Linked DNA regions of Lonchura striata. The protein of the gene in region 1 binds, or shares a complex with, the protein of each later gene. Links are inferred from orthologs where the notes say so. Each region holds a gene or a part of one and is shown on either strand. Other genes may lie near its edges.

Evidence for each region.
Region 2: the proteins of TNPO3 (region 1) and CIRBP are in contact, whole or in part, in a crystal structure (PDB 8CMK), measured with the Homo sapiens proteins. The link is inferred for Lonchura striata from reciprocal best matches to the Homo sapiens genes TNPO3 and CIRBP. Residues at the interface, in NP_036602.1 of Homo sapiens: Arg620, Glu660, Arg661, Cys663, Arg664, Arg667, Phe668, Arg671, Ser698, Cys699, Tyr702, Ser705, Ile706, Asp709, Glu710, Asp747, Asp750, Asp751, Arg754, Arg758; in NP_001271.1 of Homo sapiens: Tyr160, Arg161, Ser163, Tyr164, Asp165, Ser166, Tyr167, Ala168.

Annotation. Positions count from the first base shown.
Region 1 is NC_134607.1:73,048,280-73,063,099, forward strand, and holds the start of TNPO3 (transportin-3), read left to right. Parts: upstream 1-6,992; 5' UTR 6,993-7,037; coding exon 7,038-7,163; intron 7,164-13,054; coding exon 13,055-13,255; intron 13,256-13,869; coding exon 13,870-13,943; intron 13,944-14,619; coding exon 14,620-14,776; intron 14,777-14,820. UniProt on the Homo sapiens protein: Importin, which transports target proteins into the nucleus. Specifically mediates the nuclear import of splicing factor serine/arginine (SR) proteins, such as RBM4, SFRS1 and SFRS2, by recognizing phosphorylated SR domains.
Region 2 is NC_134630.1:6,362,790-6,378,641, reverse strand, and holds CIRBP (cold-inducible RNA-binding protein), read left to right. Parts: upstream 1-7,831; 5' UTR 7,832-7,974; exon of another isoform or gene 7,975-7,980; intron 7,981-8,627; 5' UTR 8,628-8,633; coding exon 8,634-8,736; intron 8,737-8,831; coding exon 8,832-8,938; intron 8,939-9,369; coding exon 9,370-9,508; intron 9,509-9,599; coding exon 9,600-9,684; intron 9,685-9,789; coding exon 9,790-9,883; 3' UTR 9,884-10,209; coding exon of another isoform or gene 10,210-10,226; 3' UTR 10,227-10,984; downstream 10,985-15,852. Other genes in the region: protein FAM174C, read left to right, coding at 14,531-14,811, 15,436-15,552. UniProt on the Homo sapiens protein: Cold-inducible mRNA binding protein that plays a protective role in the genotoxic stress response by stabilizing transcripts of genes involved in cell survival. Acts as a translational activator.

The DNA.
Region 1 (14,820 bases):
GACACAGGATGGACACGGGATGGGCAGAAGAGGAAGGATGAATGGAACATAGACAGATGATGGTAGACCCAGGATAGATGGAGTATGGATGAGAGACAAAGGACGGGCACAGGTGGCTGAGGGATGGACACAGGATGGACACAGGTGGGTGTGGGATGGACACAGGTGGCTGAGGGATGGACACAGGATGGACACAGGTGGGTGTGGGATGGACACAGGTGGCTGAGGGATGGACACAGGATGCACACAGGTGGGTGTGGGATGGACACGGCTGTGGGAGGGAGGGATGGATGGTGGAGGTAGATGGACACCGGGTGGGTGGGGATGGACACGGGGTGGAGGGGGTGGATTCAGGATGGATGCGGGACGGACACTCGACGGACACAGGATGGCTGGAGCAGGGCAGGGGACCGGGGGTGTCCCGGCGGTGTCACCTCACGGTCCAGCGCCCGCCCTGCCGACACGTTGAGCCGGACGCTGCGCCCGTCCAGGTAGAACCAGGCGGCGTCGGCGCCCACCAGGCAGAGCTGGAGGCCGGCGCCGCCCCCCGCGTCCCCCGGCGGGGGCAGCCGCGCCACCAGGCTCCCGTGGGCGCTGTTCTCCGCGATCTCCGTGAACAGGTTCCCGAAGCCGCTGCAGCCGTCGCCCCGGGCTGCCGTTGCCGCGCCGGGGATGGGCACACGGGTGTCCGTGGGGGGGTGGCCCCGCGGGTCCCCAGCCTCGGGGTCCCCGTGTCCCCACGCCCTGGGTCCCTCTCCAGGTCCTCTCCCCCCGTTCCCTGCTGACCCTCCCAGGGTCCCTCGTGTCCCCGCGCCAGGGTCCCCATATCCCCAGCCCAACAGCTCCATCCGCGTCGCCACCTCCCCCCTCAGTCCCCCCGTGTCCCCACCACCCAAATCCCACTCCCTGGACCCCCAGCACGGTCGCCCGTGTGTCCCCCCGTGTCCCCACCCCCTGGTCCCCACCCCCGTGTCCCCACCCCCTGGTCTCCGTCCCCAGGACACCAGCGGGCTATCAACCCCAGTGGTCCTGCGCTCGGGTGACATCTTTGGGTCCCCTCTGTGTCCCTGTGCCCTGGGGTCCCACCTCTCACGGTTGCTACTCCCAGGGTCCCCACCAGACGCCCACCGGGTCCCTCCCAGCCCCGGTGTCCCGCTCAGGTGTCCCCTGTCGGCCCGGCGCCCCAGGTGCTCACCTGTGGCCAGGTGCAGCGCCAGGCAGGCGGCCAGGAGCGCCGGGCAGGACGCGGCCGCCATGGGGACACGGGGACCTGGGGGGCGCCTGCGGGGCGGCGGGAGGAGCGGGGCTGCCACCCCCGGCCCCGCGCCCCCGTCCCCAGCGCCCTCCGCAGTGTCCCCCCCGCCGGACAGCCCCGGTGGCAGCGCTGGCACCGCCCCGGCTCCCTTCCCCCGGGACTCTCGCGCTTGGCTGTCTCTGCCCGTGTCACCCACCCGGGCCGCCATGCCCGGGTCCCCTTCCCCAGGACCCCGGGGTGCCGCCGCTGTCCTCGGTGCACGTCCCCAGGGTGTCCCTGTCCCCACCAGGGGGTCTCACAGCCGTGTCCCCCCTCCGTGCCCCCTGACCAATGCCACTCGTGTCGCCCCCCAGGCCCCGCGCTGTGCTGGCCCTGCCCTGGGGTCTGCCGGGGGACCCTCGGCGTTCCCCGCGCGGCCGTGGCAGCCATATGGCGCCCCCCCCCCCCCCAATTAGCGGCAGGTAATTAGGGCGGGGGAAGGGGGGGCGCTCCCGTCTGCCACCCCCGCCATCCCGCGGTGCGGGGTCCCCGTGCTGTCCCCCAGACCCGCTCCCTGCTGGGGGCACGGCGGGAGTCGGGGGGCTCCCGTTCCCACCCTGCGCTCCGCGGGTGCCACCCCGCCCGCGTGTCACCCCCGTGTCCGGGCCCCCCGTGTCCGGGACCCCCTCCCACCCCGGGACCCCTCCCGGAGATCGCGGCCCCCCACAGTCCGCTCCCCCCGCCCCCCCGTACCTGCCCGGCGCCGCCGCCCCCGGCGCTGCTGCCCCGGCCCGGCGGGACGGGGGGGCGGGGGCGGGACCGGGCGGGGCCGGGCCGGGCCGGGGGCGGGGCTGACCCGGGACCTGCGGCCGGATCGGAGTGCTGCCCGGCCTGGCACCGCCTGGGCATCACCTGCATTAGCCGGGCATCACCTGCACCACCTGGGCATCACCTGCACCACCTGCCCGGCCTGGCACCGCCTGGGCATCACCTGCATTACCTGAGCATCACCTGCATCACCTGGGCATCACCTGCACCACCTGCCCGGCCTGGCACCGCCTGGGCATCACCTGCATTACCTGAGCATCATCTGTATCACCTGGGCATCACCTGCACCACCTGCCCGGCCTGGCATCGCCTGGGCATCACCTGCACCACCTGGGCATCACCTGCATCACCTGAGCATCACCTGTATCACCTGGGCATCACCTGCATCACCTGAGCATCATCTGTATCACTTGGGCACCACCTGCATTACCTGAGCATCATCTGTATCACCTGGGCATCACCTGCACCACCTGCCCGGCCTGGCACCGCCTGGGCATCACCTGCACCACCTGGACATCACCTATATCACCTGAGCATCACCTACCCTCCTGCACCTCCTGGGTGCCACTGTCACCACCTGCCCTGCCTGCACCTCCTGGATGTGGAGTCTTTGTTTCTTTTTTGGGCCTCAGGTCAAATCCCACATCCTCTTTAAAATTCCCAGTAACCAGGGCTCCAACACCTGGGTATCACCTGCTGGCACCTGCCTGGGCATCTCCGAGCCCCATGGGCCATGCCCGAGGATCACCTGCGTGCCCCAGTCCCTGCCTGCACTTCAGGAGATGTCACCTGTCTGTGGTGCCCGGGAGCATCCCCGGTCACCTGCCTGCACCTCCTCTGCCACCTGCCAAGGGCTGTGCCCGGGCCCTGCCTGCACACCTGGGCCGTCCCTGCACACCCAGGGCATTCCCTGCACACCTGGGCTGTCCCTGCACACCTGGGCTGTCCCCTGCACACCTGGGCCATCCCTGCACACCTGGGCCATCCCTGCACACCTGGGCCATCCCTGCACACCTGGGACATCCTCTGCACACCTGGGCCACCCCTGCACACCTGGGACATCCCTGCACACCTGGGCATCCCCTGCACACCTGGGCTGTCCCCTGCACACCCAGGGCATCCCCTGCACACCTGGTCCATCCTCTGCACACCTGGGCCATCCCTGCACACCCAGGGCATCCCCTGCACACCTGGTCCATCCTCTGCACACCTGGGCCATCCCTGCACACCCAGGGCATCCCCTGCACACCTGGTCCATCCTCTGCACACCTGGGCCATCCCTGCACACCCAGGGCATCCCCTGCACACCTGGGCCATCCCTGCACACCTGGGCCATCCCTGCACACCCAGGGCATCCCCTGCACACCTGGGCCATCCCTGCACACCTGGGCTGTCCCCTGCACACCCAGGGCATCCCCTGCACACTGTACCTGCCCTGCTGGGCTGTGCACGGCCTGCCCATGCTGCCTGCACAGGTGTGGGCCCAGGGAGGGAGTGTGACCCTCCCTGCACACCTGGCAGGGGTGTCACATCCCTGTGCACACCTGGCAGGGGTGTCACACCCCTGTGCACACCTGGCAGGGGTGTGACCGCCTCCACGCACACCTGTGGCCGGTGTGAGGCTGGTCGGGATGCGGCCCCTCCTTGCACACTCGCGTGTCCCCGCTGAGCCACCGCCGTAATCCGCTTTGGGGACAAAGAGGATGAGCTGGGGGGAGGGGGAAGTGACACGGGGGCCACCGAGGGGGAGTGCGGGTGTGAAAATGAGGTGAGGGTGTGTGTGCAGGTGTGTGACCCAGCAGTGACACTGCAGCTGTAGAGGGACTGACCACGAATCATGGAGCTCAGGCCGGGCTGGGCTGGAAAAGACCAGGAGAGGAGCTTGTCCCACACACCTGCCACGGGCACCACCACGAGGGGACGCAGGGGCTGGCCCGGGCGGGGCACAGCGAGCACCGCTGGCCTCAGGAGCCACCTCATCATTACTCAACAGTGACTATGGGGGAAAGGAAATTAAAGGAGTTTTCCCCCAAAATCCATCTCAATCCAGTGCCCCTGCCTGCCGACACATCGGGTCTGACTGCCGGCATCACCTAACCAGGAGCTGAGATGAGGAACAAGGTGGGATCAAGGCCCCAGGAAACCCCCCCATCCCAAAATCCCATGGATTGAGATGAGGAACAAGGTGGGATCAAGGCCCCAGGAAACCCCCCCATCCCAAAATCCCATGGATTGAGATGAGGAACAAGGTGGGATCAAGGCCCCAGGAAACCCCCCCATCCCAAAATCCCATGGATTGAGATGAGGAACAAGGTGGGATCAAGGCCCCAGGAAACCCCCCCAATCCCAAAATCCCATCACAGCTGCAGATGGAGTTTTCTCCCCAGATGTGGGGGCTGGCAGAGCCCCCCTCAGTAGCTGCTCATGTCTATTGTAAATGCAGGTGACCCTGGTAGGAAGAAATTATTATGTTCAGAAGTCTGAATGATTTCTTTAGTATAACTATACTATAATACATTAATATACCATTTAAAGGAGACACTAAAACTACTTACTTTTTTTAACTGCTATATTTAACTAACTTACAACTCGTGCCCCTCTCTGAGTCCAGCCCCAGGTGGGTTGGATTGGCCATCAGGCTCAAACAATCCTCACCAAGCACTCACCCCAGGGAAACAATTCTCCAAGCACATTCCACATGGGAAAACAAGGAGCAGAAACAGAAATGGTTTTCTCTTTCTTCCCTCTGTGCGTCTCTGTAGAAATGCTGAGACAGAAGAAGGTGCCTGGCACACGCGGGTGTCCCCCCCGGCTGTGCCCACGGCGCCTGGCCCCGCGTGGGGCTGGCACTGTGGGGGAGGATTTTGGGGACGTTTGTCCCTGTGCAGGTCGGGCCGATGTCCCCCTGTCCCGCCCGAGGCCCCGTCCCACCCGCTCGCGCCGCGGTGGCTCCTCAGCCGATCCCAAAGTGCAAAAGGCAAACGGCAGGGGAACAGCGGGTTAACCACCACAAGTGCACCTTTACGGGGGGCCAGAACAGCAAATGCCACGGAGGGGACAGAAAAGGGAAATAAAGGACGGAGAGAAAGGGGGGAAGGGGACTAGAGCTACCACTGTCAGGACTAGATCCTCGACGGCCCAGCCACAAGGATTTGCCATCGTCCATGGCGGTGCACCGCAGTCTTCCCAAAAATTAATTTACACGGCCTTTGTCCAAAGCGAGTGGCGCCTGGCCCGGGGGGAGATCCCTGGGGCACTGTGAGGAGCCCGCTGGGCTGTGGAGCAGCTGGGGCACGCAGGACAGGAGCAGCCCTGCCTGCCACAGCTCTGGAACGCGGCGCCCTGTGGAGCACGGGCAGCGCCCTGCACACAGACCCAGCGAGGGTCCCCCTGCCCCCCGATCCTGGCACGGCTGCCCCGGGCTGCCTGCCTGGTGCCTTTCTCCCCGTTCTGCCCTGTTTGTGTGCAACAAAAAGCTTTGCACCTTTAAGGCTCGTTCCAGGAGTGAAGGGGGGGGGAAGGAGCGCAGTTTGTTTTCAAGAGCTGCACTCCCTCCTCCACATTCCTGCTCCTGGACTGAGTGTCTGCAGACAGACAGACAGCGAGACAGAGCTCTCCTTTGCTTTCCTAGCTAGCTTTAGCTAGCTGAGCAAAGCAGTTCCCTGGACTGGGCTGTTTTCCCTTTCTCTGGACTGAACACCAGCAGAGCAGCAGCAGCTCCGGGCCTGGGCCGTGGCATTTCCAGCTCTGCAGGGCCGGATCAGAGACTGAGTGAGCCCAGCTGCAGCCCGGGGGGTTTCTGAGCTTGTCTCTCTCTTGGAGTGGCAAGAAGTTTTATTGTTTAATATTGTTTAGGTTTGCTTGTTTAATAAACAGGTTTTTTCCACTTTTCTCCAAGGAGGTATCTTTCCTGTGAAAAACACCAATCACTTGGTTTTTTAAAATTTTAAAAGTTTAATAATAATAAAATGGTTATAAAAATAGTAATACAATTAGAGTAATAAAGTTTAGAGTTAGGACAATTACAAGACAATAAAAAGCAAAGAATTACAGACATCTGGATGCTCTCGGACACTAAGTCACAAAAAGCATGACTTGTGAACAAAGGAATAACCTTAAAAGCAATAACCTGTTACATATTCATATGTCCTTCATGGTTATGCATATATTCTATTTAAAACAAGAACTCTGTCTGTTGTATGTCAAGTGTTTCCTTTACTCCCCATGGTGTGTTCGAGTCTGAGTAATGCCTGAAGAAATTAGCTTCCTCTGATAAGAAAACCGTAAATTTCTCTTCTCTGGAAGATTTAGGTATTCCTTGAAGCGAGTATCTCATTCCTTAAAAAACCCCTTCACATAGCAGAGTTTCTATTTTAACATCGTGCTGGAACCTGAAACTGTATTTAACACACCGAATACAGCATCACTTTCTGACATGACACATACCATATTCGTTGTAGCATTTGCGAAAAGCCAATCATAAAATACGCATTTTTCACACTGGGGGTCTCTGGAGCCCTGGGGACAGCCCGGAGGTGCCGGGGGGTGCCGGGGGGTGTCGGGGGGTGTCGGGGGTGCCGGGGGGTGCCGGGCCCCACGCCCCGGTTTTTTTGGGGGGGTGGGGCACGGACCCTTCCCGCCGCGCCGGGTGCGCCCGGACACATTTGCCCGCTGCACCGCCGGAAGCTCGCGTTGGGCAGGGCGCGGGGGGGGCGGGGGTGGGACAAACCGTGGCGGGATGGAATGGAATAGGACGGGACGCGATGGAATGGAACGGAACGGGACGGGACGGGTTGGGATGGGATGCGATGCGATGCGATGAGGTGGAAGAGGCGGAACGGGGCGTAGCGGGCAGCGGCGAGGGCGGGCGGCGGAACGGAAGGACGCGGAACGGAAGGCGCAGGGGCGCGTTTCCGGGGGCCGGCCCGGCGCGGAGCGGCGATGGCGGCGGGCGGGCGGCGCTGAGGGACCGGCCATGGAGCGCGGGCCGGGCCGGCCCAGCCTGCAGCTCGTCCAGCAGGCCGTGCAGGCGCTCTACCACGACCCCGACCCCAGCGGCAAGGAGCGGGCGAGCTGCTGGCTGGGCGAGCTGCAGCGCTCGGTGAGAGCCGCGGGCGGCGGGTACCGGGCCCGGCTCGCGGGGAGGCCTCGGGCCCCATCCGGGTGGGGCGGGGCAGGGAACGGCGGCCCCTTGGCGGCCTCGGGGAGCCTCTGCCCCGCCGCCGCCGCTTCCCGCTGCTCTGCGGCTACCCCATTCCTGAGAGCGCTCTGCAGAGGGACCGGGACAAGGCCTGCAGGGACAGGACCCAGGGAATGGCTCCCACTGCCAGAGGGCAGCCATGGATGGGAGATTGGGAATGAGGAATTCCTGGCTGGGCTGGGATTGCCAGAGCAGCTGGGGCTGCCCCTGGATCCCTGGCAGTGCCCAAGGCCAGGCTGGACACTGGGGCTGGAGCAGCCTGGGGCAGTGGGAGGTGTCCCTGCCATGGCAGGGGTGGCACTGGAGGGGCTCTGGGCTCCCTTCCCACCCAAACTGTTCGCCGGTTCCGTGATTAGCACCAGGAACAAGGGGCTGGAACGTTTGGCACAGTGCTGAGGCAGCTGGGAAGGAGGAATTGGCTCCCGGAGGGAAATTTGGGCTTCTTCTGCCGGCCGGGTCAGATCCGTGAGGGGATGGAGCCGAGCCCTCAGGACACACCCCGGGTTTGGGGTGTTGGTCGGTGTTCTCCTGCTGGGGCTGCTCTGTCCCCCTGCCTCAGGGGTGGTGCTTCCCCGCCCGGAGCTGGGCAGTTCCCGCTGTGCTCCCCCTTTCCCCAGGGCCAGGATCCCTGCCCTGGGGCCGGGGAGGAGCTGTGTCCTGGCCCTGCCTGCTCTGGCTGACCCAGCTCTGCCCGGTTCCCTTCCAGCTCCAGCCCCTTCCCGCTCCCTGGCCAGGCTCGCCACTCTTTGTTCCCACAAACTCGTGTTTTCCCATTTCCCCCCGAATTCCTGCAGTGCTGCAGCTCCCATCAGAGTTCCCAAGGGACTGTCCACGGCTGGGTCTGGGGGCTCTGCTGCTGCTCCCCCCATTTCCCCGGGGCAGAAGCAAGATCTCGAGGCAGCTGGAGGAGGGGCATTCACATTTCAGGGCTGGGTCCTGTCCCGGGCCCCAGGATTGCTGTTGGGTAAAGAGGTGTTCCAGGTCAGGCTCCCCATCCCCTGCAGAGTTTGGGTTTTGGGGGCTGATCTGTATTCCCCAGTATCTGGGAATCTGGGGGGGTCTCTGCTGCAGTTCCTCGGGCTTTTCCCTGGGCTCTTTCTGATAGAACATTAGCAGTAATAACAGCAATAATAATAATAATAATAATAATAATAATAATAATAAAAACAGCAATAACAACGTTGTTACTGACTCAGCTCAGCCCCAGGGCAGCAGCAGTCCTGCCTCTCCCCTTCTGCTGGGTCATTCCCCCTGCTTCTCTCTGAGCTCTGAGCTGCTCCCAGAAGGAACCCCACTTATTCCTGGGGTGTTCAGGCCCAGCCTGGCTCCATCCAGCGCCTCCCTCTGCTCGGAGCTGCTGAGTTCCCCCAGCCCTGCACAACTGGAGCTCCCTGGTGTGGGCTGGCAGCGTGGGATGCTCCAGGGGACCCTGCCCGGCTTGGGGTCACGGTGACCCTGGTGGGACAGGAGTCACTGTGGCCCTGGTGGCCCTGGCTGGGTGCAGCTCTTTGTCCCTCAGTGTCCCCGTGCCCTGGTCTGGATGGAGGCACTGGCATTAACCCCCCAAGGAGTGTTTGCTTGGATCCCGTTCTGTGCCCAGCCGTGTCCCTGCAGTGCCACCCGTCACGGGCTGTTTGCTGGCACCCCTGGGCTGTCCATGCCCTGCTGGGCTGTGTCACGTTTGCCTCTGCTGGGACGAGCTCTCAGGGTAGGGTTCCCACTGGCTTTTGCCTTTCTGGGGTTGTAATCACAGAATCCTGGGATGGCTGGGTGGGAAGGGACCCCAGAGCCCCTCCAGTGCCACCCCTGCCACGGCAGGGACACCTCCCACTGCCCCAGGCTGCTCCAGCCCCAGTGTCCAGCCTGGCCTTGGGCACTTGTAGGGGCAGTTTGGCTGACTGGGAGTGGGGACAGGGAAATCCTGGGAGCAGGGAGATCCTATTTGGAACAGCGAGATCCTTGGCTGCAGGTGCAGTTTGGGTGACTGGGATCAGGGACAGGGAGATCCCAGGGTCAGGGAGATCTGGGAACCTGCAGATCTGTGGCTGTGGGTGCAGTTTGGGTGACTGGAATCAGGGACAGGGAGATCCCAGGAACAGGGAGATCTGGGAACCTGCAGATCTGTGGCTGTGGGTGCAGTTTGGGTGGCTGGGAGCGGCGCTGCCCCAGCCCTGTGGGCACAGCTGTGAGGAGCAGGTGAGCAGCACTGCCAGCTCTGAGCCGGGCAGTGCCCGGGGTGCTGAGCAGCACTGCCAGCTCTGAGCCACACAGTGCCAGGGGTGCTGAGCAGCACTGCCAACTCTGAGCCAGGCAGTGCCCAGGGGTGCTGAGCAGCCTCACAGGGAGCAGAGGGCACACAGGTGCACTGCATGAACATGGGGGGATAAAAGGGGGTGAAGAACAACAAGGGCACGTGCTTGGAGCCTTCTGAGGTGGTGTGGTGTCACTGTGTGGGTTGAAGCCGTCTGAAATTGTATCTGTGGGATACATCCCATCGTAGGGATGAGAAGGCAAAACCTGCAGTGGAGTTTGGGTGCCTGGATCACTCTGTGGGGGTTCAGGTTTGGCACTGGGCACCCCCAAACCTAAGGGAGATCCCTGCAGTTCCCATCCCTGGTATCTCTGGCAGGACGTGGGTTCAGGTTTGGCTCTGGAGGGCCCTGGGGGCTCAGGTGTGTCCCTCAGCTCCCCCAGCTGCCTCGTTCTGGCCTTTGCTGCTGGTTATTCCTGGGAAATGGGGCCGGACGTGGCAGAGCAGCTCCGAGCCTGCAGAGCACCGGGGAGCTCAGCTGAAGGTGCAAGTTGACCTAAATCCCAGAATCTGCAGATCCTTCAGGCAGCCGTGGGCTGGGAGCTGTGTGAAGGCTGATTGCAGACTAGCTGGGGTTTCCTCAGGCAGAGGAGCTGTTCCCAGTGTGGGATTGGCCTTGTCCCAGCTTTCCCAGCTTCATGGCTGGCGTTTCTCTGCATCCCTGGTGTCTGGAGCAGAGCCCTGGGAGAATGTTCCATGTGGATCCACGGCTGTGACCTGAGTGTTGGAGCTTTGGTGTGCATTGAGGTTGGTTTGGGCTTTCGTGGGAGTTCAGGAACTGCTTTCTGGGAAGGAAATCCTCTGGCTTTGTAGAATTCCTGAATGTGCCATGAAGAGTTTCAGGCATGGAAACAGCTTCTTTGGTGCTCACAGCCCATTAATAATTGTGCTCTTTGCTGAGTTGGGCTCCCAGACGGATTATCCATGTCCCTGGGGTTGGTGGGCTTGGGAGATCTCCTGTGTCTGCCACCATGTCCATCTAAACCTGGAATTACCTTTGTTAATTGAGGGGAGAAGGAGTTTAGTGAGAGGGTTTGGTGGGATTCTGGCTGTTGTAGGTGTTGAGTTCTACTTCTTGTCTGTTCCCAGCGTGGGAGTTCCCTGTGAGGATAAATAAATCCGGGGGGTGTTTATGACAGCAGTGGCTCCAGGTGTTTCTCACTCCCTGTTAGAGTCGTTCCAGGTGAGTTTTACACCAGGAGATGCTGACCATGGAACAGCAGCTGTCATGGAGGCAGGGAAAGGAAAGGAAAGGAGGAGCAGAGCCTGGAAACGCAGAGGAGCTTGTCTGAAGGCTCTGGCAGGGCTCTCCTTGGCCAGGCTGTGCTCAGCCGTGGCGATGGACTGGCACTCCGTGGGGAGAACCTGCCGTGTCCTGTGGGGAGCTCCCGCCTGGCTGTGGCAGGGATGGATCCACGGCCGTGGGGGCTGAACCTGGAGGCACTGAGGAGCCGTGGGGATGTGGCTCCTGGGGACAGGGGGACATGGGGCAGCGGTGGCCTCGGCAGCGCTGGGAGCTCTGGGACTGCGTGGGCTGCAGGGGTTTCCAGCTCTGAGGGTTCTGTGGAAAGGAGGAAGGGAGAGGGGAGCACGTGGGGTGCTGGGGTCCCAGCCTCCCAGCTTGTCTGGGCCCTTTGAGTTCTGTGGTTGGCTCCAGCTGCGTTCCAGGCTCCAGTGGCTGTGGAAAGAGCTCCTAGCAGAAATTCCGGGAGTGGGATCAGGAACTAGGCCTTGTGCTATTGCCAGCTATAACATTTTCCTTTTCCATGTGCAAGAGACTGGGTTTTCCTGGGAATCAGCCTGGATCATACTGATCCTGCCTGGTGTTGCCTTCTTGTTCCCCTCTGTGATGCTGGAGAGCCCTGGCTCAGGATTTGGGTCTGGAGCACTGGTGGGGTGGAGCCTCTGAGCAGGCTGTCCTGCCTGGGGGGGGATTTGGAATGGGGATTATTTTGTCTTCCAGGCTGGAACGCAGCTGGAAGCGAGGCTAGGCAGGTGGTGGTTTGTAGCAGAGAGCTGTTTGGCTGTTGGAGTGACTGGCCAAGGGTTGTGATGGAATTGCCTTCATTAGTGAGGCTGGAATGAGGACCAGAGCTGGGTTTTAGGGATGCAGAGGTTTTATTTCGCTCTGGATTGAGCTCAGGGAAGTCCTGTGACCCAAAGGCTGTCAGAGACAAGAGCTGTGAAGCTCATGGAATTGATTCAAGTTTTGTTCCCAGGTTTCCACATCAGCTGGATTTGGGATTTTTAACCATGCTGGCCAGGGAGGTTTGGAGTTCCCGTCCCTGGAGGTGTCCAGGGAAGGACTAGACTCAGTGCTGTGGGCTGGGGACAGGGTGGGGACAAGGGCACAGGTTGGTCTCGATGGTCTTAAAGGTCTTTCCCACCCTCAGTGACTCTGGGATTCGGTGACTCTGGGATTCAGTGAATGTGTTCCCATGCCCCAGCCCAGCCAGGGGGCTCTGGAGTCTGTTGGGTGTTTCCCTGGCTCACCAGTGCCCCGATCCCACACTCAGGACTGAGCCTTTGGGTTCAGACCAGGCTGGCACGGGCTGGAGCTGCCCCGTGGCTGGGCAGGCTCCTGCCTGGCTCTCCTCCAGCGCTCAGGCACATCCATGTTCTGCTCTGGAGTCCCGGTGTGGGCCTGGTGTCCTCAGTGCTGGATTCCATATTGTGGTTGTAGTCTGGGGTTATCCAAGCCCCTCTGCCACCTGTGCCCTGCTGGGCTCTCTCTGTGTTTGTTTCTGTGTGAGACTCTGCTTAGCCCAGAGAAGCCTCTGCTGCCCTTTCCTGCAGGGTGGGGTGTTGGAACCCCGTGGGCTCTGCTCTCCCGACGGGGCTGTGGGGTCTCTGCCCGTGTTACAGAGCTGCTCTGTCCCTGCAGCTCCTCGGTGTCCCAGTGCCAGCCTGGGATGGCAGCACGGTGTGGGCTCTGCAGCCAGGGGTGTTCAGGGAGTCATGGAATGGGTTGGGTGGTCAGGGAGCCCAGAGCCCCTCCAGTGCCACCCCTGCCATGGCAGGGACACCTCCCACTGTCCCAGGCTGCTCCAGTGTCCAGCCTGGCCCTGGGCACTGCCAGGGATCCAGGGGCAGCCCCAGGTGCTCTGGCAATCCCAGCCCAGCCAGGAATTCCTCATTCCCAATCTCCCATCCATGGCTGCCCTCTGGCAGTGGGAGCCATTCCCTGGGTCCTGTCCCTCCACCCTTGTTCCCAGTCCCTCTGCAGCTCTCCTGGAGCCCCTTCAGGCCCTGCCAGGGCTCTGAGCTCTCCCTGGATCCTTCTCCTCTCCAGGTGAGCACCCCCAGTTCTCCCAGCCTGGATCCCTGGGATCTGAGGGGCTCCAGCCCTGGAGCAGCTGTGTGCATCTCTCTGGACTTGCTCTGGCAGGACAGGGCTGTGTTTCCATTGGGGAATTTGGACTGTCTGCAGCACCCTGACCCCCCTGCCCTGGCCACTGACCACGCCGTGGCTTTCCCACAGGTCCATGCTTGGGAGATCTCGGACCAGCTGCTGCAGATCCACCAGGATGTGGAGTCCTGCTACTTTGCGGCGCAGACCATGAAGATGAAGATCCAAACTTCATTCTATGAACTCCCCACGGATTCCCACGCCTCACTCCGGGACTCTTTGCTGTCCCACATCCAGAACTTGAAGGACCTGTCCCCAGTCATTGTCACACAGGTTGGTGATGGCAGAGGAGGGATGGAGCTGCTCCCTCTGTGTTCTGCTCCTGGCAGCCACTCTGGGACTGCTCTCCCTGGGCTGGAAAATGGGGAAGGCTAATCTCTGCTCCCAGCCTGGCACTAGATTATTTTCCCTCCTTCATCACTTGGTTCCTTTAGTTACACCCATTACTTCATCCTCGTTTGCTGTTTGGAGAGGAGCAGCAGGGGTTGCCCCTGTTCTCTGCCGTGGAGACCAAACCTAGCAGTGCCCTGGGTGTTCAGGGGATTTCTCTGCATGCTTCATTCCCATTATTCATATGTTCCCATGGCACTGGGGGGCCTGACACCCCCAGGCTGAGCCAGGGTGCTCCTGCAGCCCCTGAATGTTGTGGCAGGGAGTGTCAGCCCCCGGGGCAGCCGGTGTTCCACAGTTCACCGCGGGGATCATGCACAGACAGGGATGGGGAGATGGATCCCAGAGCTCCCTGCCTGTGGGCCACGTTGGGAGCGATTCCCGAGTTACCTGCTGGCAGGGATGTTGGGGTGGATTCCAGAGCTGCCTGCCAGCCCTATTTCCCGGGCACACGCCGGAACTCCCCACACTGATCCCTGTTCTCCATTCCCTTCCAGCTCGCTTTGGCAATAGCTGACCTTGCCCTGCAGATGGCTTCGTGGAAGGGCTGTGTGCAGACACTGGTGGAGAAGTGAGTGCCTGTTCCTGCCTCTGGCCTGGGGATTGTTCCCCGGGCTGTGCCAGGCGGCTGTGGTGCAGGAAAGGGAAGTTTTTCTCTCGTGATGGCTGATTTCAGCTGTCCTGGGTGGTGGCAGGAGGGGCTATCTGCCGTGCACGCTTCCCTGCTCACAGCCCAACACTCAGCGCTTTTCCTCATCCCTGTTTTGTTAGGGACAATCCCTCTTCCCTCAGCTGTGTCTGTGCTGTGGAATGGAGCAGTGGGGCTGGAGCCAGCCAGTGGGGCGTCCCCAGATGTCCCCACGGGATGCCACATGCTGCTGCACAGTGACAGCAGCAGCCCCTGGGGCTGCCACCACCCTGAGGTGGCCCTGTGTCCGTTGGCAGCAGGAGGGGATGGGATTTGTGCGGGCAGTGGCACCTGGACTCCCTGAGCTCATGGGCTGGGAAAGCTGCTGTCACTGCTCTGTTGGAGGCCTGGGCTGAGCCATCCTGGAGGCTCCTCTTGGCAGGGCTGTGGCTGGATACTGCCTGTCCTTGAGGCAGGACTGTTGCCGAGTCTGTGGAATATGGAATCGTGGGTGCCTGGGGTGGGAAGGGACCTTAGAGGCCTGCGGTGGCCCGGGGTGCCCTGCAGCCCTGGTGGTGCTGTTCCGCAGTGCCGGGGTGTCCCCTGTCCCTCCTGGCAGGTACAGCAATGACGTGACGTCGCTGCCCTTCCTGCTGGAGATCCTGACGGTGCTGCCCGAGGAGGTGCACAGCCGCTCGCTGCGCATCGGGGCCAACCGCCGCACCGAGATCATCGAGGACCTGGCCTACTACTCCAGCACCGTGGTGTCCCTGCTGGTGAGCAGCCTCCAGCTGCAGCTGCCTCTGCCCCACGGCGCCCA
Region 2 (15,852 bases), on another chromosome or scaffold:
TGGAGCGTTGCCACGGCAACGCTGCAATGGGGCGCAGCGGCTGCATGGCTGCATGGCTGCCGAGGGGCCCAGGCCCACGGCGGGGTGCGGGTGAGAGGAGGGTCGGCTGGATCCTCGTGTCAGATTGCACACGTGTGACTGCCCAGGTGCGTGGATGCACGCGTGTGGGTGTGCACGCGTGCACACTGATGTGTGCTCTGCACGTGCAGGGTTTGGGGGCTCGGGGACCCCACTCTGGGGCAGCACTGGTAGACGGAGCCCTTGGCACCGTTTGGTTCTTCCTGCAGCAGTGTCGGGAGGGAAACTGAGGCACTGGCAGCGTGGGATTCACCCTGTCACAGACTGTCACTTGGGACAGGGGGACCTCACAGTGCCACCAGCTCTGACCCTTCCCGCACAGTGCCGGGTCTGGCCAGCATCCTCACGCCCTGGCTGGGGTCTCACACGCGTGTGGGGCTCTGCGGTGGGATTGTGGGGTGCCGGGCGCCAGGATCAGCCCCGTTTGCAGCCAGGAGCTGGGGGGACACGGGCAGGGCACGGGGTGACACGGGGCGAGCGCAGCGCGGCCGTGGCACACGCGTGGGCGGCGCGGTGCCGGGGGGGGCAGGATCGGTGCACGTAGCGTGGCTGCCCTCTGCTGCCACGGCCACGGCAGCGCTCAGCACCCCGGCACCCCTGGGACGCCGCCAGGGCAGGGAACCCCAGGGTGCTGAACAGTGGCAGCTCGCTCAGCCCACAGCAGGACCCGCCGGGCTGGGGTGAGGCACGGCCAGTGTGAGACAGCAGGGGATGAGATGCTCCGAGATGCTCTTAAAGCTGAAATCCCTCTCCACGCTGTGCCCAGCCCCAGCTGGGATGGGGTCATGCAGCAGCCAGGATGGAATGAAACTTTTTTTTGGGCTTCCACGGGGCAGGGGCTCAGCCTGGTGTCAGTTCTTGGTGGCTCCCGCTGCTCTCGGGGCATGGATCTTGCAGCTCCCTCCCATCCTCCATCCCGCTGCTTTGGGAAGCGGGTCACGTCCAGCTCCCGGCACGGCAGCGATGCCGGGGGAGCTCCGCTTTCCGGGGCAGCTCGGAGCCGCTTCCAGCGTTTTTGGGGATTGTTGGGAGGAGGATTTCCGGCGGGGCGAGTCTACGTGGCACTGCCACCCCGGGAATGTGGCAGCGGGGAGCTCAGCCCCCACTCCCCTTCAGCTCATGCCGGTGGGTGCCGGGGGGTCTTTGCTGCTGTGGCAGCATTGCCAAGCTCCCCCAGAAAGCTCCAGGAGTCGCTGCCCTGTCTCGGGGCAGCTGTGCTGGGTGGCACCAGCCCGAGCAGTGCCAGGATCCGGCTTTTCCCTGTGGAACGCCCGGCTCCCAGGGCAGGCGTGGTGCTGCTGGAGGCAGAGACGCTGCCTCTACCTGCCTCCGTTCGGATCAGCGCGATGGGGAGAGAGCGGGGGAACTTTCCCGACTCGTTTCCCCACATTGAGGGGAATTAAAAAAAAAAAAAAAAAAAAAAAAAGAGAGAGAAGGAGTCGCATGACTTGGAGCTTCCCGAGAGGCAGCGCGGGGAGAGAGCGACCCAGGCAGCCAAAAATCCGCTCGGCTGTCGTGGCTCGCTGCTGCTCTGCGGGGCCGGGAGAGGTTGGGTTACGGGAGGCGCGGAAAGGGGACGGTGCAGGATGAGCTCATGCGAGGGCGCGGGAACCTTCTGGGCAGGAAAAAAATGTTGATGCTGCAGTTCAGGGATTTCTGCAGTCGCGGCTGTTCCCGCAGATGCCGGCTCACTCCGCCGGGCCACCCCTCGTGCTGATGGGCAATGAAATGACTCAAAAAAAAAAAAAAAAAATACTAGGGGACGGATGCTGTGCGATCAAGGTGATTCACTGCCCTTGCAGGGAAGCAGCAGCACGCAGCGAGCCGCTGAGGAGCAGAGGGGGAACACGGGGGGCCTGGGAGGACATCGCGGTCCTGGGGAGCCCTGAGACCCTTGTGCCACCCTGCATGGGATTGTAGGGGGTGTGACACCTCCGGTCCTACCGCGAATCACGGCAGCAAAGTGCAGTGTGAGACATGCCTGAGGGGTCTGGAAGAGTTCCAGTTTCCCTCAACACCTGAGCTGGCCCCCCTCGGCGTGTACTTTACCTCTTGCTGGGGAGGGATACGATGTTCCCAAGTCTTGGCGGCTTTTCCCCTGCGGACTGTGATAAACCCTTCCCACCCCTCTGTCCTGCAAGGTCGCCTGGTGTCAGGCGGTCAGAGGCTGTTTGTCCTGTCCTTGGGCAGCATCTCCTGCCCTTAAGAACTCAGCGCTGCAAATGCTCTTAGGTGATGATTAATGAGCGCTTATATAACTGAACCGAGTCCTTAATGCAGACAGGAGGGCGACAGGAGGGAAGGTGGGAGCAATAAACCACACGTCGCTGCTGCTGCTGCTTTCCCACACCAGGGAAGCTGCGTTCTGTGCAGGGGGACCCTGGCAGATGTGGGGGAGAGGCCACCCACGGGGAAGCAGCTTGGGCAGCCCCCATCTGGGTTTCCCCAGGCAGTGCTGCATCCTTTGGGAGCAAGCGGCTGGTGGTGCTGCCCTGAACCACGTTGCCCTTGGCACGGTCGGGCTCTCTGGCGTGGCAGAGCTGGGAGGTGAAGGGTTTATGCTGGAAAAGCATTCATGTATCACGGTGAGTGGAATGTTGTGCTGGCGAGCTGGGAGTGCTGGAGGAAATGGGCAAAAATCCCACAGTAACACCTTAGTGTGACCCGTGAGGGGTGATGAGGCTGCTGCTGGAGATGCTGGGTGCAGTGGTTTCTAAATTTGGCTGTGTTTGGGCAGGTAGGGATGGTCTGACACACAAGATTTGGTTTTCCATCGTGTAGCTGGGAAGCACCAGCCCTGATAAAGCTGCTGCTCAGTGCCAAGGCAGTTACATGGTTTCCATGGTTACCACATGCTTATTTTTCACCATCTTCCTCACCTCAGCCGGGGTGCACCGGCATTCCCAACCCTGAATCCCCCCTGACCTCAATCGGGGTGCACTGGCATTCCCAGCTCCCAATTCCCCTGGGCTCCAGCTGGGTGCACCAGTATCTCCGATTCCGAATCCCACCTGGACCTCAGCTCATTTCCTAACGCTGCAGTTTGGATATCCCGCCGCTGTGACCCCCATCACCTCAGGGCACCTTGTGCCAGCCCGGATCTCGTGCACCTTTTTCTTGTGGATCCCATCCCCGTTGCTCCCGGCGGATCCGATCATTCTGCTCTTTGTGGATCCAATCCCCCCGCTCCCTGTGGATCCCATCCTTCTGTTCTCTGCGGATCTGATCCCGGCGGATGCCGTGCCCCGCTCCCCGTGGCTTTGTCCTGCAGCCCGGTAAATCCCGGTCACGGGAAGCGCAGCGGCCGCGCTCCTCGCCATGGTAACGGGGATTGCGTCAGGGCTTTTCTTTCCAACTGCAAAGCTGGATGAGCAGCTCCCTCGGGGCCAGGAGGAAGGGAGAAGGGAATATTCTTTTCCCTGGGGCGTTTTGGGACTGCCAGTTCCCTAATCCAGCCCTGGTTTGGTGTTTGCTTGCGGCTCCAAGGCTGCCAAGGGCCAGACACGGTGGGAACAGCGAGGGCTCCCATGCCAGGCACACCGAGGGGTCCCGTGCTGGGACACTGAGGGGTGCTGTGCTGGGGACACTGATGGGTGCTGAGCTGGGACACTGATGGGTGCTGTGCTGGGACACTGATGGGTGCTGTGCTGGGACACCGATGGGTGCTGTGCTGGGACACTGATGGGTGCTGTGCTGGGACACCGAGGGGTCCTGTGCTGGGGACACTGATGGGTGCTGTGCTGGGACACTGATGGGTGCTGTGCTGGGACACTGAGGGGTGCTGTGCTGGGGACACCGATGGGTGCTGTGCTGGGACACCGATGGGTGCTGTGCTGGGACACTGATGGGTGCTGTGCTGGGACACTGATGGGTGCTGAGCTGGGACACTGATGGGTGCTGTGCTGGGACACTGATGGGTGCTGACCTGGGGACACTGATGGGTGCTGTGCTGGGACACCGAGGGGTCCTGTGCTGGGACACTGATGGGTGCTGAGCTGGGGACACTGATGGGTGCTGTGCTGGGACACCGAGGGGTGCTGTGCTGAGGACATTGATGGGTGCTGTGCTGGGACACTGATGGGTGCTGTGCTGGGACACCGAGGGGTCCTGTGCTGGGGTCCCTGAGGCCTGGGAAGACTCTGTGCTTCCCCTGTGGCATCTCCCTGCTCCTGGTATAAGATGATCTTGCAGGGAAAACCAGGAAGGAACCAGAGGCTTGGTGTTGGCTGGGGTGGAGGCGCAGGGATGAGATCTTCATTCCGGCCTCACATTCCCTCCTTTCCTGCAATCCCAGCAGAAACAAAGGCAGAGGAGGCGGCTCCTGCGCCCTGCAGGATGTGCTGGGGCGTGCGGAGCTCCCCCACCGCTGTGCCTGGAGCAGGGAGGATGGTCCCGGGGGCTTTGCCGAGGCTCAGGAGCAGGAGGAACGCTGTGCCAGAACCCGGAGCGGGCGGGGGAAGGGGGCTGCCTGGAGGGCTTTGTTCCCTCCCAGCCCCGGGTAAAGCACAGCAGCACCAGAGGATGAGATGTGGCACCACTGCCCCGTCCTCCCCTTTCCACCGCTCCTGTTCCCAGCCCTGGCCCGCGGCGGCAGCACCGGAGGAGCTGCTCCGGGATTTGGGAACCTCATCAGAGCAGCGCCCGGGGCGGGGGCTGCCCTTGGCTCCCCAAAAGGTGCCAGGGCTGCCAAGCAGGTTTGGGCTCAGCTGCTGCACGGCTCTGGGCAACTCCAGGGACTGGGAAAGAGCCCTACAAACAGCCCAGCAAGGTGGGGACCCCCAGAGAAAGCCCGCGGTGCTGTGGATGGAGCGTGGGATGTGAGAGAGGCTCATGCTGATGTGGGAATGGCACGGGGTGAAGGTGGGAGGGCAGCACAGCTCCTCCTGTCACGGTTCCCCCGTGGCATTTCCGTGTGGTGCTATCCCTGCTGTGCTGCTGGACAGGCAGAACTTCTAGGAAATCAGATTTGCATTAACAGGATGTTCGGTCCTACAACCTCTGCCCTCGGAAGGTTTAAAAAATAGGTGATAAAAACATCAGTCGTGTGTGGGGGGATTGCTTGAATCAGCTCCAGGTGATCCCTGAGGTCCCTCCAGCCTCTGGTGATTCACAATTTCCCGTGGCTGCACCTGTACACACAAACAGCTCTGCTTCAGAGCGGATATTTGCACTTCCTAAGGAAGTGCTGGCACTTTTGTCAAATGGGGTCACTACGGCCACAGCCCTTCTCACAGCCAGATCCAGGTGACCAAAATTAGGGCTCAGCCAGGGAAAACAGCCATGGGTGCTCAGGTCTGGAACTCACACAGGAGTGAACTCTGCATCTCCTACGTGGTGTTGCCTGCTTGGGGCCCCTGGGCAGGGCCCTTCTGCTGCAGGAGGTTTGCTCTAAGGATGTGAATCCCGGGCTGTTTCAGTGCTTAATTAACTGCCCCAATGGCTGGTGCAATCTGCCGGGTGAGCTGCCTGCCTGGCTGCTCCCAGCGCTGCTCCCAGCCAGAGCCCAGCCTGTGGGACGTGCAGTGATGTCCCTGGTGACGTGGGGCAGCTGCGGCCCCTGTGTGCAGCCTGATCATGGAATATCCAGGAGGATTGTCAAATCCACAGCTGATGCCATGTCTGATGCCATGTCTGATGCCCCGAGTCAGGGCACTGGAGCACTGAACCCTCCCTGCAGCAGCAGCACTGGGGCCAGAGCACACCGTGTCTATTTGGCCCAGCTCTCTCCTTGTGTCACTGGTGACTCTCACTGTCAAAGCAAAGGCATCAACACGCCCCAGGGAGACAGAAATCAAACTTTTGGGACACAACCAAGCAGGGCTGTGCTCGCCATTCCCTGTCACAGGAGCTCCTCTGCTGCCAGCAGCCCTTGATCCTGCTGGGACTCAAATTCCCCCAAAGCAGCAAAGGTTCTCACTGCTATTTTCACAACACCCGACCTGCCTGGTTTTGTGTGGAGTCAAATCCCAGTGAATCCCGGTGTTTGTCCCTCAAGGTTTGCAGCGGGGTTAGTGTTGGCTGTCCAGCATCTCAGGCTGGAAAATGGCTCTCTGCATCAAGGTCACTTTATCCACCCTCATCACAGACCAGAAATGCTCACGTTAATGGGTCTCTAATTTAATCAAAATGCTGTGCCTGTGATTGCAGGGCTGGGATCTTTTCCTCTCTTGAAGGGCAAAAATCAATTTGCAGTAACAGCAGATGCGTCTGCTCCCTTCTCCAGGCCTAGGAAAGTGAGTACATTTTTTCATCGTATGAAAATAATAATATTGGCCAGGTGTGTCATCAATATTGGGATCTTTTATGTGCTTTTGAACACTTTGGTGGCAGCATTCTGTCCCTGTGGCCCCGTGAGCTCAAAAAATCCACAGCTGCTGTGGTGCCCCTGGGTTTTGTAATTGCTGTATTACCTATGTGCAAACTGCCCTTTTCCTGCAGATCCCAAAGGGATCCCAACAAATCAGAGAGGAAAAGCCTAATTTCCATGTTCTGGGACGCAGGGAATGGGTGATCGGTGCTCGACAGAGCAATCACAGGCAGGTTTTTTTGCATTTCCCTGTGGTTTGGAAATCGGTCACCAAGTAGTTGTGATTTTTGTACTCCAGTGATTTTCTTCTGTGCGGCCTGGCTCTGACTGGAAATACTGGGAGGGAAGGGAAGGGAAGGGAAGGGAAGGGGAAAAGGGAAGGAGCGGCAAACTGCGGCTGCAAACTGCACCATGAATTACAAGGAGTTTGTGGAAGCAGAAAAAACGTGTCTGGCGGTACCTGGGAGAGGGGACACACACACAGTGACCCTGCTGTGTCCAGTGCTGTCCTTGGGCGCGGGGCACACACGGGGACAGCACAGCCCCGTCCTCGCCGCGTTTCCTTCCCGTTTCCTCACGCTGCTCTTCCCTCCCCTGCATCTCCCCCTCTCCATTTCTTCACGTGCGTCTCTTCCTCTCCAATGTTTCCTAACACTTTTCTACGTGAGATTGTAATGTATGGCACACCGAACGTTTTTATTTTGAGGACTTTCAAAGCTGTGTCGCCTCTCGGTAAGACACGTCTTTGGCTTTGCCAATTTTCTCTTTCAATACAAAGTTTTTCCTGCTGAAGGCATTCTCACTTTTCTCAGACCTCAGGATGGGCTTTTAAAGTTTTCAATTTTTGGGGAAACAGGTTGAGAGCAAAGTTTTGTGTTTTTTTTGTTTGTTTTTTTTTTTAAGAAAACTTTGTTGCTTTGACTACTTCTATCATCTAGGGCAACACTGCAAAGAGGGAGCTGAAGGGATCATTCCCCCACGGGACAGAGAGGAAGGCGGACGGTTCTGGGGCACAAAACGGGCTCCCTCAGCGGGGCGGTGACCGACGGGGCGGCGGCGGGAGGAGCCGCCGGAGCCCGGCCGGGGGCAGCGCCGGGCGCCCAAGATGGCGGCGGCCCCTGAGGCGGCCCCTTTGTCTGCGGCCGCCGCCGCAGTGCGAGAGGGCGCGAAACTGGGCCAGCCTGGCCACGCCCCCTCCGCCAGCCTGGCCCGCCCTCCCGGCCAATCAGCGCCCTCCACTTCCTCCCCTCTCACAGGGGCGCTCCCGCCCGCCTCCGCGCGCGCAGCCAATGGGCGCCGCCTGCCGCGCCCCCGCCCCCCCGCATGGGTGGAAGGGGCGGGGCCACGGCGTGGTTTTGTTTGCTTCGCCCCCGTCGCGGTTCATTAATATTAATGAAATCCCGCCCAATCAGGTGGTGAAGCGGCGGCGGCGCTTTGGTGACGCGAAGCCCCTCCTTGCAGCGGGGTTCATCTGCATATTCATAAGATAGGCGGGATGAGGCGCGGGCGTTTATAAGGCGCCGCCCCGCCAGGCTCGCCGTACATTTCGCTGAAGCTTTGAAGTGTTGTGGGAACCTCGCGCCGCCCGGGTATCGGTGAGCGCAGTCGCGCGGGGCGTCCGCGACCGCACCGGGCGGGGTGGTCCGCGGTGAGCGGAGCCGTGTCCTAGGGGCAGAGCTCGGGGTCCCGCAGGAGGCTGGGCCGCAGCTCCCGACCCGCCGATCGGTGCCTTCTGCGGGCACAGGGGGCGCGGCAGAGCGGGCCGGTGTGGGCCGCGAGGGGGAAGGGGCCGCGGCGGGGGGAAAGGCGTGCGCGGAAACAAAATGGCGACGGGCCTCGGCCGTGCAAAATGGCGGGCGGGAGGGAGGGGGCGGCGGGCGCCGCTGCGCCGGGGAGGCCGGTAGGGGGCGCGGCGCGGCGCGCATGCGCGCTGGGCACGGAGGGGCCGGCCGCGGGGGTCCCACCGGGGCTCGGCGGGACCCGACCCGGCCGCCGGTTCCGCCGGGGCCCGGCCCCGGTGATGCTCCTGCCGCTGGGCCCTCGCTCCCGCCCGCCCTGAGGGAGACCCGTTCTGAGGCTGGGAGACCACATAAGGTGTGGCCTCAGGGGCGCATAAGTGGTCCGGGAGTTTGAGGTTACATCGGTGGCGTTATAGGTAGTGTTAGAAGGATTTAATGTTTGTGGCCTGGCGGGGATTATGTGGGTTTTTTGAGTTGCTGACTCGGTTCTGTTGGTTTGGCAGGTCAGAATGGCATCAGATGAGGGAAAGCTCTTTGTCGGCGGGCTGAGTTTCGACACCAATGAGCAGTCATTGGAGCAAGTCTTCTCTAAATACGGACAGATTTCTGAAGGTGAGACTGCAGAGCCACAATGACATAGTTTCCCTTAGTCTGTTAAATTTCCCTGGTGCTGATGGGTTTTTGTTTCCTCTATGTCCTTTTCATAGTCGTGGTGGTGAAAGACAGAGAGACTCAGAGATCCAGAGGTTTTGGATTTGTTACTTTTGAAAATATCGATGATGCGAAAGATGCAATGATGGCCATGAATGGAAAGGTGAGGAGGTTTCGGAGTTGATTCTTCATTTCCCATAATGGAGGAGACTCAGAGGTGTGCTGTTGTTCAGGCTGTGTGGAAAACCAGATAAATGCCAGTGTCTTAAATGAGCTGATATGGATGTAAAAAATCTGGCTATATAGATTAATACATAGAACCTATATGTATATATATACATACTACGAATACAAATTGATAAAGTTCCATTATGGAACCTGGATGACTGAGATACGACTTTATAGGTATTCCCGTAAATGCAATTAATATATCAGGTTTTTTGCCTACTTGGTTTAATTGTGGCATGAAATAGATGGTTATTTCTTGAGCAGCGAGTCCTGGCACTGCTCAGCCAACTGTGAAGGCATGTGACTCCTTCTACATGTGCTTGCTATTTAAATGTTTCAGTTTGGCTAACTGTGGTTGTGTTTTAGTCTGTAGATGGGCGTCAGATCCGAGTCGACCAGGCTGGGAAATCATCTGAGAACAGATCCCGTGGCTACAGAGGGGGGTCCTCGGGGGGCCGGGGCTTCTTCCGCGGGGGCCGAGGCCGGGGCCGTGGCTTCTCCAGAGGTGAGTGCATGGGGGTCAGTCATAATGTCTGGATGGGGGAATGTGTCTTGTCAGAATGGTTAAAAAAACCGCGTTTCCATGTATTTCCAAGGAGGTGGAGACAGAGGCTATGGCGGCAGCAGATTCGACTCCAGAAGTGGAGGCTATAACGGCTCCAGAGACTACTATAACAGCAGGTAAGGGCTCTGCCAGCACCAGGGCTCGTGGGCAAGCTGTGGTGGAATTCAACCCAGCAGAGAAGGAGTTGAGCAGCTGTAAATGAGGTGCTGTTTGTCCCGCAGGAGTCAAGGTGGCTATGGAGACAGGAACTCAGGAGGGTCCTACAGAGACAGCTACGACAGTTACGGTAAGTCCTGCTTCGAGCGGGAGCGCTGAGTCCGTGTGCTGTAGGAGCTCTGAACCTGCTGAGCCTGAGCCTGGAGCTGGGGCAGGCTCAGGCTGTGGACGTGGTGGTGCCGGGAGATTCTAATTTAATGCATGTGCAGGAGTTGCTCGGATCTAAGGCAAAGCAAGTGTTTAAAAAAAAAAAAAAAATAAGGTGTTCCTGGAGCCCAAACTCGGCTGCCCTAACGCACTGACCCGCGGGTGGGGGATCTCAGTAGCCAAGTAGCCGTAGCCTCGGAATATTGCAAAGGGAGTAAAATGCTGGAACTTGTCTTTGCTTCAGTGCCTTTACAATTGTGCCTGCTTCTTGTCCTCAGCTACACACAACGAGTAAAAATCCTTCCTGACTCAAGATCGTCCTTCCAATGGCTGTATTTATAAAGATTTTTGGAGCTTCGCTGAAATGGTTATTGTGTAGTACATCTACTTGTATTTTCACTTTTGTAGTATTATCAGTTCTGATCTTGTCATACACAGCCTGGCAGCTTCTGAAACGAGACTGTCTGATTAGACTGTCTCAGAGAAAGCTCTGCTTTCAAGTGGTTTTAATCTTCTTTGAAAGCACTTCAGATTTTATTTTATTCTCCATGAATGAGCCAAGGTGTTCGTTTTTGGTTGTTTTTTTTTTTTTCTAAGTTGGGGCCCCAATTCAGTTTCTTTTGAGCTAGCAAGGATCTTGTACCAATGTTCACTGGAAGCTGAACAAGCTGTGGACTTTTTATTCTCTTTTTTTTTTTTTTTTTTTTTTAAGTGCATTACCCTTGTCTTTTGTAACATTCCTTTAGTGTAGCAAGGTAGGAATGCAGCTTGGGTTCCGTTGGAAGGCAAACCACCTTGATATATCTAAAGAGAAACGTGCTTGTATGTTCCACTCGCATAACGGTATTTTTACTGTTGTAATGATGTAAATGACCCAGAACTAGACTTGCAAACTTACCATAAAGAGGTTCTTGAAAATGTTTATTTATATTGTCCTTTTTTACTGGAAGAAATATGCATATTCCATTGCTGTTGTATTTGAAGTGGTAAAGGATTCCTGTATACAGTTTTCTTTGGCTTTACGAAGCCTATTAAAGGACCGTCTGAAATGAACTCTGCTCCTGACATTTACATTTCATTGCACAACACAACCCTTGGAGATGAAGAACAGTCACGGGAGCGAGAGGAGGAGATTAGGGACAGTGGCAGAGCTGGCCGGACGATTGCCCGGGCGCTGGAATTTAAATCCTAAAATCGGTCTTGACATCTGAATTGGCCAAGAAATTTCACATAAAGTAGTCAAAACTTGTCTGTAGAGGCTGGAAGTACAAACCTGAGGGTGTGCTAGGAGCGAAGTGAAGTTGGAATGTTAGGAAGGATAATGGATGTTTGCTCCAAAGCTGCTGTAGCCTACACTGGGAAGCTGTAGAGAAGAGCCAAGTGCTGTAGTCCCTGGGCTGTTCCCTGCGTGCCGAGCGCGTGTGTGATGTAGGGGAATGCCGGGCTTAGCTTAGCTGTGTCATTGCTTACAAGTTCTAAGAATTCTTTGCTAGCAAATGGAAACTGCAGTGTCCTTGGAGAAAAGAAGTGTTGTGCCTCCAACAGAAACCTCTGAGACGAGAGCTGCTCTCTTGGCTAGTTCATATGTGGAAATAGTCCTGTAATTCGAGGTAACTCCTTTTGCTCATGTCCGCATCCTTCCTCTTGTTGAGAGCTCATTTGAAAGTCTAATGTACCTGTGAAATATTCCTTTTGACAATTTTGGTCAGCTACTGGAAAAACGTTTAACCCATGCCGTATGCAACCTTTGGCTTGTGGCACACCTTGAGTTCCACAGATCAGAGTTGGGCATGCAGCCGTGTCTTGCTGTAGGTACGGAAGCAAGATTGGAACGAACTCCCTGACTCGATATGTGTTCATCTATTGAGACTCTTCTAGACTTCATTAAGTTGCTCACTTTAATTGTAGCTTTCTTTGCCATCCTACTTGTTGCCATTAACTTTTTCCCATGGCCCACACTTCCTAAGCAGCCATGTCCAAGTGTTAACTCTCTGCTTAGGGGATCCAATCCATGGGCTGGCTGAGCACGGGCAGCAGCCGGCCCGGAACAGTTTTCCCAGACTGTGCTTTGTGGTGTGATGGGTTCAGCGATGGCTTGTGAGACCCTCGTGCGCTGTGAGCTGTGTGGGGAGGTTGGGGGCGAGAGCAGCCTCTGCCCTGGGCCTTTGTTAATGCCTCTCTGCTTTAGCAGGCTGAAGGGACCCGGCACACACCTCGGAGGCCCAGCGGATCCTGAGCGACCAGAGCTGCGTTCCAGGGATGCTGCAGCAAGTTTGCCAGCCAGGTAATGTCCCTTTCATGGTTTTTTTGTTTTTCTTTGTTTTTCCTTTGGCTGTGTCCCTGTTCTGTAGCCCTGAGCTCTTAAGTGGTGCAGTAACCCCGTTCCTTTCCTGTATCTTTATCCACCTTCCAATTCTCTTGTCTCCATTTCGTTTCAGCACTGAGACATGTCAGAGAAGGCAGAAGGACAGACACTGGAGTGGAGACATGAAGAGCACAGAGCAGTGGTGTTGATCATTTTTACATGAACCAAATCAATCAAGACAGAATAAAACACTGAAATGTGGAAAAAACCAAATTTCTGTGGTACTTTTTGTGGGAAACAGAATGTTTTTGGCAAAAGTATTTGGTGCACAGCCCAGTTCAGAGCACAGAGCAAAACCATCACTCTGGTGCTCGGAGGTGGACACACTGCTCCAAGCAGATTGATGTGTGATCCTCGTGGAAAATGAGGTCTTGTTGCAGGTAAAATCCCAAAAATGTGGCAGCTTGGTAATGAGGATTAATAAAATGTTGGGAGAGGCTGACAAGCTGAATGTGTTTCTGGCAGGAGATTGCAGGGTGAGAGCAGTGAGTTTTTGATGATCTCAGCTGCTCCTGCCCTTCTGTTTCGTGTTAGAGAAGAGTTGATTGCTTCATCCTGCCCTATTCTCCCCATTTTTTGAAACGGATAAACTCAAAATTTGGTGATGGGCTCATTCAGGAGCCCTGAGAACTTGCTGCCCAATCCCACTGATAAGAGTCTCCAGACACTCCTGCCTGCAGGAGGGGATTATTGAGCTCACTTCACAAAACCTACTTTTCCTCCTTTAACCTTTTTCAAATTATCTAAGAAAGCAGCATTTAAAAAAAGCAATCAGCCATGACACACTTCTGGGGGTTGTATTGAGCAATTCACCAGTGAGGATTTTTGCATGTTAATGCAGGAGGATATGAAATACAATGAATTGTGAGGAGTGTGTGAAGTCTTTGCTGATAAAAATGCAGTCAGGTGAGGCTTAAATTAATTCAGGCTGAAAATACTTACAAATAATGCTTTGTAAGACCTTCCTAAATAGGATGCTTCGATGCAGGCAGAAATAATGAACGGGTGCAAAAATAGCCTGGTTGAAGGTGCTGTTATTTTTGGCACTGCTAATTATGGCATTGCGTTAATGATGTATTGCTGGGATGGGTGAGGGAATCGCTGGAGCAAGGGGCTGGATGTGGAACCCAGTGCGTCACCAGGAAGGTGTTTGGGTGCTGTGGGTCTGACGTGAGCTTGGGTGACCCAGTTTTAGCCAAAATGCCCTTTTTTAAAAAAGTAAGCCCTGTGTGTCCAGGCAGCTTTGAGCCATTCCCTGAGGAAAAAATAGGGAAGTGGAGCAGGGCTGAAGGGTGGTGACTGAGCCCTGCTCAGCCAGAAATGTCTGCAGAAGGAAGAGGTGGGGGATAGAAATTACTGAAATGCTCAAAATGCTCCTGTTTCCAGCTGTGTTCACCATGGGCCGCCCTGAAGGGTGAAGGAGAACCCTGAGGGGGAAATGGCGGCTCTGGGGGGGAGAAGGGCTTGTTATGAGGGGGAAGTGGCGACTCTGAAGGAGAAATGATGACCCTCGGGGAAATGGTGGCCTTGAGGGAGAAAGGACAACCCTGAGGGGGAAATGGCGGCTGTGAGGAGGGAATGAGAGTTCTCAGAGGGCAGCAGCAGCCCTGAGAGAGGAATGATGACTCTGAGGGGGAAATGGCGGTTCTGAGGGAGGAATGAGAGTCCTCAAAGGGCAGCAGCAGCCCTGAGGGGGAAATGGCGGCTGTGATGGAAGAATGAGGGTCCTCAAAGGGCAGCGGCAGCCCTGAAGGGAGGAAGGATGACCCTGAGGGGAAAATTGCGGCTGTGAGGGAGGAATGAGAGTCCTTAAAGGGCAACAAGAGCCCTGAGAAAGGAAGGATGACCCTCGGGGAAATGGTGGCCTTGAGGGAGAAAGGACAACCCTGAGGGGGAAATGGCGGCTGTGAGGAGGGAATGAGAGTCCTCAAAGGGCAGCAGCAGCCCTGAGGGAGGAAGGGTGACCCTGAGGGGGAAATGGCGTCTCTGACAGACGGGGTGTTGCAGTGAGGGAGAAATGGCGTCGCCGCCGATCTACGCGCAGCCCAGCGAGGGCACAACAGCAACCCTGAGGGCGAAATGTCGGCTCCGTGAGCGGGTCACGGCCGGCCCGGAACGGCGCAGCCCCGGAACCCGCGAGCGGTTCCGCGGGGCCCGGGCGGGGCCTGCGCCGCGCGCACCGGCCCGGCGCCTTCCTGCGGCCGCCGCTCCCGCTCCGCCGCCCCGGCCCGGCCATGCCGCGCCGCCTCCTCCTCCTCCTCCTCCTCCTCCTCCTCCTCCTCGTCCTCGTCCCGCACCCCGGCCGCGCCGCCGCCCCCAGCGCGGGGAACAGCGCGGGGAACAGCACGGAGCCGCCGCGGGCGGCCCCACGGAACGAGACGCAGTCGGTGTGGGAGCACGAGCCCGGGCCGAGGCTGGCGGTGGGGTCGGGGCTGCCGGTGCTGAGGCGCGCGGTTTATGTGCTCAGCGCTCTGTCGGCGCTGGCCGCGCTCTACTTCATGCTGCGGGCGTTCCGGTGAGTGCAGGGCTGTGTCCGCGTTCTGCTGGTCTTGTCCCCACCCTGGTGTCCCCCTGACCCGGGGCTGTGTCCCTGCTGCTCCTCGTTCCTGTTGCCCTTGTCCCGGGCTGTGTCCCAGCTCGCCTCGGTTCCAGGGTTATCTGGCACGGGGATGTGCCGTGCTAGTCGTGGTTCCCCCTGGTCAGGGATGTCACCCCGATTGACCCAGTCCCCCTTGCTTGTGGCAGTGTCCTTGCTTGTCCCTGTCCCCCATGGCTGTGCCCCTGCCCGTCCCGGTCTTGCTCTGAGTCCCCCCAAAGCCGTTCAGCGTCCCCTGTCCCTTGCTTGCCCCAGTCCTGCTCCTAATCCCTGGGTTTGTGCCCATTTTCCCTGAATCTCCCTCCCTTCCTCCCTCCCTCTCTCTCCCAGCCGGGGTTCTGCTTCCCCACGCATCTTTTTTTGGCAGCGAGTCCAAAACGTTGCTGTAAATCCCTAACGCTGTTAATTACCCGAGGTAATTAGCGCTAAACCATCTCCGCTAAACCACCCGCTGGGTGGGGACAGCGGCTCACTCACTGTGCTCTCCCTGTCCCTCATCCCCAGCTCCGAGGGCCCCAGAAACAAGCCCAAAACTCATTTCAGGTTGAAGAAGCCCCAGAGGAAGAAGTATGGGCTGCTGTCGAGCCAGGATGAGAACATCGAGCTGGGCTCCCTCGACAGTGACGAGGACACCGTGTTTGAAAGCCGGAACCTGAGGCGGTGAGGGAACATTTTGTGTGTTTTTTGTGTTGCTCTTTTCCTCACAAGGGGCTGAGGCTCCTTTCCCAAAGCTGTGGGAGCTCTGGCACAGCTCCTACAAACAGATCTGCATAAATTAAAACGCCTGTGTGTGGTCTCTGTGTTGGCACACGGATTTATCTCACTTTTCCTCATTTTCTGGCCCGGGAAAGTCTCACTGACAGGGTTATTTGGACACTGCTGTGGGGTCACAGAGCTGTTGGGAGAGGCAGCCCCTGTACCCAGTCTGTGTTAGACAGGGAAACAGAAATTCCTGGATTT